Rattus norvegicus: one gene and its partner. The protein of the gene in region 2 interacts with the protein of the main gene of each other region in a pairwise test. Links are inferred from orthologs where the notes say so. Each region holds a gene or a part of one and is shown on either strand. Other genes may lie near its edges.

What was found.
Region 1: the proteins of Eea1 (region 2) and Rab5b interact in binary tests that used the Homo sapiens proteins (3 or more experiments, as listed by UniProt). The link is inferred for Rattus norvegicus from reciprocal best matches to the Homo sapiens genes EEA1 and RAB5B.

Annotation. Positions count from the first base shown.
Region 1 is NC_086025.1:1,710,055-1,713,803, forward strand, and holds the start of Rab5b (ras-related protein Rab-5B), read right to left. Parts: upstream 2,683-3,749; 5' UTR 2,515-2,682; exon of another isoform or gene 2,421-2,514; intron 1-2,420. UniProt on the Homo sapiens protein: The small GTPases Rab are key regulators of intracellular membrane trafficking, from the formation of transport vesicles to their fusion with membranes.
Region 2 is NC_086025.1:32,578,485-32,582,133, reverse strand, and holds part of Eea1 (early endosome antigen 1), read right to left. Parts: intron 3,512-3,649; coding exon 3,372-3,511; intron 1,664-3,371; coding exon 1,333-1,663; intron 1,167-1,332; coding exon 1,065-1,166; intron 178-1,064; coding exon 1-177. UniProt on the Homo sapiens protein: Binds phospholipid vesicles containing phosphatidylinositol 3-phosphate and participates in endosomal trafficking.

The DNA of each region.
Region 1 (3,749 bases), about 31 Mb from region 2:
AATGGTGAAGGTTTAAAGATACCAAAGATTTAAAGAGGATGAAAACACACGCACGCACGCACACACACACACACACACACACACACACACACACACACACACACGACTGGCTGTGTAAGGGAGAAAACCTGTGGGGAGGGGCTGAGGTTTTTGCTGGACACTGTGCAAGGAGCATATTAGAGGGCTTCAGAAAGTCAAAAAAGTCAAGTTCAAATTCAGAGAAAGATGGGAACTTTTTGGGTCTGGAACGGTTGTCATCTCCCTAAGATAAGGAAGAGACAGTCAAGTACTGGGAAAATTTGAATGAAGATGGGGTTTCTGATTCTGATGTTTCTTTCTTGCCCATAAGAAAGTTGCTCGTGGGGCTGGGGATTTAGCTCAGTGGTAGAGCGCTTACCTAGGAAGCACAAGGCCCTGGGTTCGGTCCCCAGCTCCGGGGGAAAAAAAAAAAAAAAAACTAGAAAAAAAAAAAGAAAGTTGCTGGTGCATTTGGGCAGTTTCTAGGCTACCCAGTGCATGGCTGTGTGAATGAACACTGAAGAGAGCAGCTGCTAAGTCAAAGGACAGCTCTGAACCTGATAGAGATGGACTGCAAAAGGAACACAATGAAGAACAGAGTGTCAGCCAAGAAAGTACCGAGAATGGGGAGAATGAACAGCACTTGGGGCAGATGAGAAAACCTGTCTCTGCTTGGGTTTTTCTCACGTGCACACTAATTACAGTCTCATTCTTCCCACAGTATTCTCTTGTTTAGTCTTATTTAATATCTCTAACTGTCCTAAATGAAATACGCTATGTGTAGAAGGACTCAGATTTTACATATGTCTGTGCAGCATAAACACTTTCACATATGCGTTACTTTGGTAATTAAGAAACGTAGTGATGCAAGCTGCTGAGATGGCTCGGCCCCAGGTTAGTGCTCTTGCACAGACCTGTGTAGTTTCCAGCACCCACGTGGCAGCTAATAATTGTCCTTAACTCCAGTTCCAGGAGACCTAATACCTTTTGTGACCTCTGAGGGATCCCGCATGTATGTAGTACATATGCATACACTATGTAGTGAGAACAAAATGAATGCTGTGATAAATAGCATTAGTACAGAAAAGAAAGAGGAGGCAGAACCCTAAGGGAGAAACCAAAAGGGTCCAATCTATAGAAAACTTGACAGGTCAGCAAAACCCTTCCTCTGTGTGTGTGTGTGTGTGTGTGTGTGTGTGTGTGAGAGAGAGAGAGAGAGAGAGAGAGAGAGAGAGAGAGAGAGAGAGAGAGAGAGGGAGGACTCCCATTTGTCTGGCATTAATAAATCCATCTTCTAAGCTGCCAAGCCTGAGTACTGAACACCCACAAGAGTTGTCCTCTGATCTCCACACATGTATTGTAGCTTGCACACGCACACGCACGCACACGCACACACGCACAGAGAGAGAGAGAGAGAGAGAGAGAGAGAGAGAGAGAAAGAGAAAGAGAGAAAGAGAAAGAGAAATGACTCCTGAATAAGTGGACAAAGAAGAAAGGGTGGTGCCAACCTTCTGGTAGGTAACTTCTCAACTCTTTCCCAAATCCCTTCAGGGATATCACCTCACAGTTCCTGGCGTGGAGACCTCCATTAACTACCTAGGAAATGCTCAAGTGCAAGTCTCACAGACATGGTACTTTTCTTTTTTTTAAATGGCTGGGGATTGCTTTGCCCCTTTTCATGCAGATGACAGAGTTCCTCAATTCTAGGTAAAAGTTAAGAGTAGTCACCACAGACTGCATTATGAAGTGGGAAAGACTGAGCAAAGCACTCCCAAATTTTCTTAGTTCTCTCACAGTACATGAAATAGGGAAAACAACGAATACAGTAACAGAAAGTAAAGAAGAGTGCAGTCAAGACCAGCTATGAGGTCAGGGTAAAAAGTGTAGGGGGGCTGAGCTTGGAGCTACCAGGAACCATGGAAAACATAATTTTACTTTGTCTTCATTCCCTACTCAAGAAGTACCCCAAAACTTCAAATCACCACACCCAAGCACTAAAGGAACAAAAGAGTAAGGAACTTCCAAGATACACCATCATTCCAGAAGTTCCCATAACTGATACCAGGCCCTGCTTACTTCCTTCTACTTTGGTCTTCTAGATCAGTAATGCATTCTTCATTTACTTCAGGGACCAAATCCCTCGGCTACACCAGTGTACCCCTAGTTCCCCTTTCAACAGTCACTTTCCCTGAAAAGAATGCCTCTCATTTGGCTAGGAACCCCGACAGTGGATGTCTCTAGAGATCCAGGTTCCGCTACCCCCGGGGCTGGGTGTAGCACTGTCCCCTCCACACCTCCTGCCAAATGGGCTGGCTTCCCCTCCCTCACTGCCTAGTCCCCGACCCCAGCTCCTCCCTCCACACCGCGCTGCTCAGAGTCCCGAGGCAGGCCCTGGTCCTCACCGGCTCCGGGTCCCCGCGCCCGGCCCCCGAGCGGCCGCAGCCAGAACCCAGCCGCCTCCCAACTAGAGGCTCGGCTCCCAGCCCTGCCGATCACCTCCTCGGCGCCCACTAGGCCTGCGGGACAGCCCCTTTTGCCCGCTCCAGGAGGCTCTCGAGCCCTGGCGTCGGCCCGACCCGCCTCTGCCGCAGGCAAGGCTGCGCTCCTCTCGGGACCTCCGCCTCTGCCCTTGTGGGCTCCATCAGCTCGGTACCTGGGGCTCCGTCTCCCCCGTCGGGCCCAAGCCTGTGTGGAACAGACAAACAGCTGCAGCTCAACCAAACTCCTGCCCCCTTCGCCTCCTCCTCCTCCTCGCGGGCGGAGGCTCCAGCCAATCCCAAGACCACCCGCCTACCGTGGTGGGTGGGCTATATGGGCATTCACCCGCCAATCCTCTGGAGAAAGGCGGGCTTTGAGGGACTGTCACCAACTAGTACAAGTGGGGACCAGACTGGCGAGGCCGCAAGCCAATACCTAAACGAGAAGCCTTGAAGATTGGCGGGATGAGTAGCCATTAAAGAGAGTGCTTCTGGGAAAGGGGGCAGTGCAGCACTGACAGGCATGTGCCTCAGCCAATAAAACCTCGACACCCGTGACACCCCTCCCCCGCCTTTTGACTCGTAAACATCTAATCAGGTGAGTGAAGAAGGCGGGTCAAATGGAAATCTTAACCAGTACTGGGAAATTTCCGAACTTGACAGGCAGGCAAGGATAGCGCGAAAGAAGCCTTAGAAAGGCTTTTGGTCGGGTGTGGTGTGGCAATCCTAATCCCAGCACTGTGGACTGAGGTGGAGGCAGTGCTAGGTCTTCATCCTCTACTAGTGAGTTTGAGACTAGCCCGGGCTCCTCATTAACATGATCTCAGTTTGGGGGTGGGGGGCTCAAGGGGTGGGCTTGGCGGCCCATTTATTTAATCCTAGCAATCAGGAGGATCTCAATGAGATTCAAGCCAGCCTGGTCTACAAAGTTCCAAGCTACATAGTCTTAAAAAACGAACAAAAAACCAGTATTAACCTTCTCTCTTCTCCCCTTGGCCTGGATTACACCGATGCCCCGCTTTCTCTGTCAAATTAAGAAAGACCTGAAACCAGGGGAATTTTACCTTGTAAATTCTTCTTAGTGGAGCATTAGAGAACACGAGTTTTTTGGGTGGATTGCCTAATGTTTTGATCATGTAAAAACCGTGACAACAGAAAGTGGTAGTCTGAAGGAAGATACTTTAGCCTCCTAAATTTTCACATTGTTGATATTTTCTCAATTGTTTGTAAATTTGAAAAAATATTTGGACAGCT
Region 2 (3,649 bases):
TTTAAGCTCTCCTTGAAGAGCTTCCATTTGCTTTTTCTTTTGCTCAGTTGCTTGCTTCAGCTGATTTATGTTCCCCTGAAGCTGCTGCTCTTCTTTCTCCTTCTGCTTTAATGTATTTTGAGCCTGTGTGACTTCTCCCTTGACTGAATTGAGTTCTATCATCAACTGTTGAGAAGTCTAAAAGAAATTGAAACTTATTTGACTCATTTATTCATTGAAAACACATTCTCTGAGTATCTGCTACAAGCAACACAGTACTTTCAAAGATATTATTGAACCTTTAGCCACCTTCCAAGTATGATTTATTCACAGGCGATTAGTGACATGAACCATTTGGTTACTGTGTAGAAGTCCAGAAATATCTTCTTGTCACTAATATTGTCACTGTCTATGTGGTGTTGGTTTTTGTCAATTTGACCTAAGCTTGAGCAATCTTGGAAGAAGAGCTTCAGTTGAGGAACTGCCCTGTGGGCAAGTCTGGGGGGCATTTTCATGATTGATGACTGACATGGGTGGGCCCAGCCCACTGTGGGTGCTGCCCTCTGGCCAGGTGGTCCTGGGTATCAAGACCTAAGTGAGCAAACTTTGGGAGTAAACTAGTAAAGAGCCTGTCTCCAAGGACTCCGCCTGAGTCCCTGCCTTGACCTCCCTCAATGATGGGCTGTGCCTGGGGATGGGTAAGCCAAATCTTTTCCTTCCCAACCTGTTTCTGGTCAGTGTTTATCATAGAAATAAAGAGAAAACTGGGGCAACAAATGAAGTAAGTTTAAGATGCTATTATTTTTTCAACTATAATGTTCTTTAACCTTATCTAATTAAAACTCTTATACAATTAAGAAAAAGAAAACTGAATCAACTAACCATTTCTTTACTAGGCCCTTACATTTTAAATGAATTTAAACTTTGTTAGTGATAACTAGAACACAAGTAACAATTTTAAAATAAACACATAAGCCATTTTATTTTGCAGAAATAAGCATTCTCTTGATTTCTGTATCAGGGTAAGAAAAATTAACAAAAAAGCCCATTATATTCCACATGTTTACAGTAAGAGAGCACTGTACCTCTCTCTCCTTCTCCAGTGACTTTTTCAGTTCACTCTGCTCCTTCAGTGCACTTTCTGTTTGTTGTTGAAGCTGATGCTTTAATTCTTTACAAGCTTTTTCCTAATAAAGAAATATCACACTGAAAACATCTGTAATAACTTACAAATGATTGATCAGGTTAGAAAGAAAAATAAAGGGAAATAAACTGGCCCCCACACACATCCCATTAGAGCACTTTAATTAAGAAGATGACTTCTACCTATGAAAAGAAACATAAACAACTAACCAAGTCTAGTACAGCAGCCTTTCCTTTCTGACTCTCTTTCTCAAATTCGCTCCTGGAGGTTTGTAAAGAATCTGAAACTTTTGACAGTTTCCCTTTTGTTGTGGAGAGCTCAGCCAGGAGAGCGTCCTTCTGTGCTGTCATCACCATCAGCTCTGTGATCGCAGCTTGCATCCTGTCACTCAGCTCCTTGTGCTGCGCCTCTGAATCTTGACTTAACTTTTCAAATTCCTGTTTCAAGACAACTTTTTCTTCTTCTTTCTTAGTGAGGGTTTGTTTAATATTTTCAAGGGCTTCAGATTTATTCTGTAGATCCAATTTTGTATGAGATACTCTGGATTAAAAAGGAATTTCTAAAATTAATGTAATATAAAATTTATCAATCAAAATTATTCATAAGTGATTACTGAATTTTTTATATGGCTCAGAAGGAAAAATAAAATAACTTTAAAAACACTGAAAACTGCCTTAAAACATCTCATTAGATACACATGATTTCCTTAGCAAGGGCCAAGTTAGTTCCATTCCCTAACTTAATCAAGTCTTGTCCACCACCGTAAGTCATCAGAGAAATTCAGATAACAAATCCTAGAGGGTCTACAAGCGCCAGCAAAGGTTTTCCAGGCCCCATAAAGTACCGAATCAGTGTGTTATTTCTTACACATAAATGGAACTCTGTCTCTTCCCTTAGAAATATAGAACATATTTTATGTTGATAAATTTAAATATCATAATGTAAGATATTTTTAAACATTTTAGCATATGTAAACATATTTTAACATAATGTAAGATATTTTTAAAGGAATCATTTTACTTCAAAAATAAAGACAAATGGTTTATCTAACTTCAGATTATAAAATGGTCCGTTATCATTGATCCTTTAATACATGGGTTTTTTAATGCCAGAATGAATAAGCTACAAGAATGAGCAAGTGAAAAAATCCATCTTTAAAAGTGTACGCTGGGGGCTGGAGGGATGGCTCAGCGGTTAAGAGCACTGACTGCTCTTCCAGAGGTCCTGAGTTCAATTCCCAGCAACTACATGGTGGTTCACAACCATCTGTAATGGGATCTGATGCCCACTTCTGGTGTGTCTGAAGACAGCTACGGTGTACAGTGTAATGAACAAATAAATCTTTAAAAAAAAAAAAAAGAGTGTGTGCTGGTTCTGGTGTTGTCCTTCCCTCAATGTGCAGGTTGTTCTCTGTCAATGGGCGCAAGCAAACTGAGAAGACGCTCCCATCAGACTGGCTAGTGGTAAGCCTGGATTCACTTCTTTGATGACTGATGTTCAAAGGCCTAGCCTAGCCTACTGCAAGCAGTGCTAGCCCAGCGCAGAGTTCTGAGTTGTATGAGAAATAGACTAAGCAAGCCATTGAGAAGCAAGAAGGAAGCAGCAGTCTTCCATGGCCTCTGCTTCACTTCCGGCCTCCAGGTCCCTGCCTCCACCCCTAGACCTGCCTGCCTTTGACGATGGACTCTAACCTGTAAGGTGTAGCAAACCTTTTCTTCCCAAGATTTCTTTTAGTGTTTCATCACAGCCAGAGAAACCAAACATGTACCCAATAACATCAAAGCTGCAAAGACCCATGGCAAAGTTGAAAAAAATCATTCCTAATGAGAAAAAATCCACTCTGTACTTAGTCTAGAACCTCAAAGCAGAAACTTGACTGTTCGCAGGTGATATATATACAAATTGCAGTTTTAAAATTTTTATATTAACTATTTCAAACTGGTGAACAACTCAAAATGAATGCTCAAGAGAAAATGGTACCATATTACTGCTGAAGAGTGACTGGAATTTATAGAACTAAGTGAACAATGGAAAATGAAGTTAACATCAACCAAGTAATGAAGGCCTTATTTTTCACTGACATTAACATTGATAGTATATACAACCAGTACTGTGTGCATGGGAAAACACACACACACACACACACACACACACACACACACACACTGAAACAAACCACACTTCATGCCTGTCTGTGAACGGTGTGAACAGCCGAAAGCTTACGGATATAAAATAGAAGGTCGCTTACACTTCCTTCTGCTCTTGAAGCTGCTTCCTGAGCTCTGCATTCCTGAGCTCTAGGTCTGTGCTCAGCTGCCTCTGCTGCTGTAGGCTCTGCACAGCTTGCTCCCTGCTTGCTTTAACTTCAAGATTATTGGCTTCTAGTTTCTGAGGGTGAAATACAGCATTCATTTGAATTTTGGCAATAACTAATGATTAAATATTATAGCATTGGTCTACATTCAAATTGTTATTGACAAAAGAGACAAATAATATATTTATAATATATTTATAGAAACCCATTCT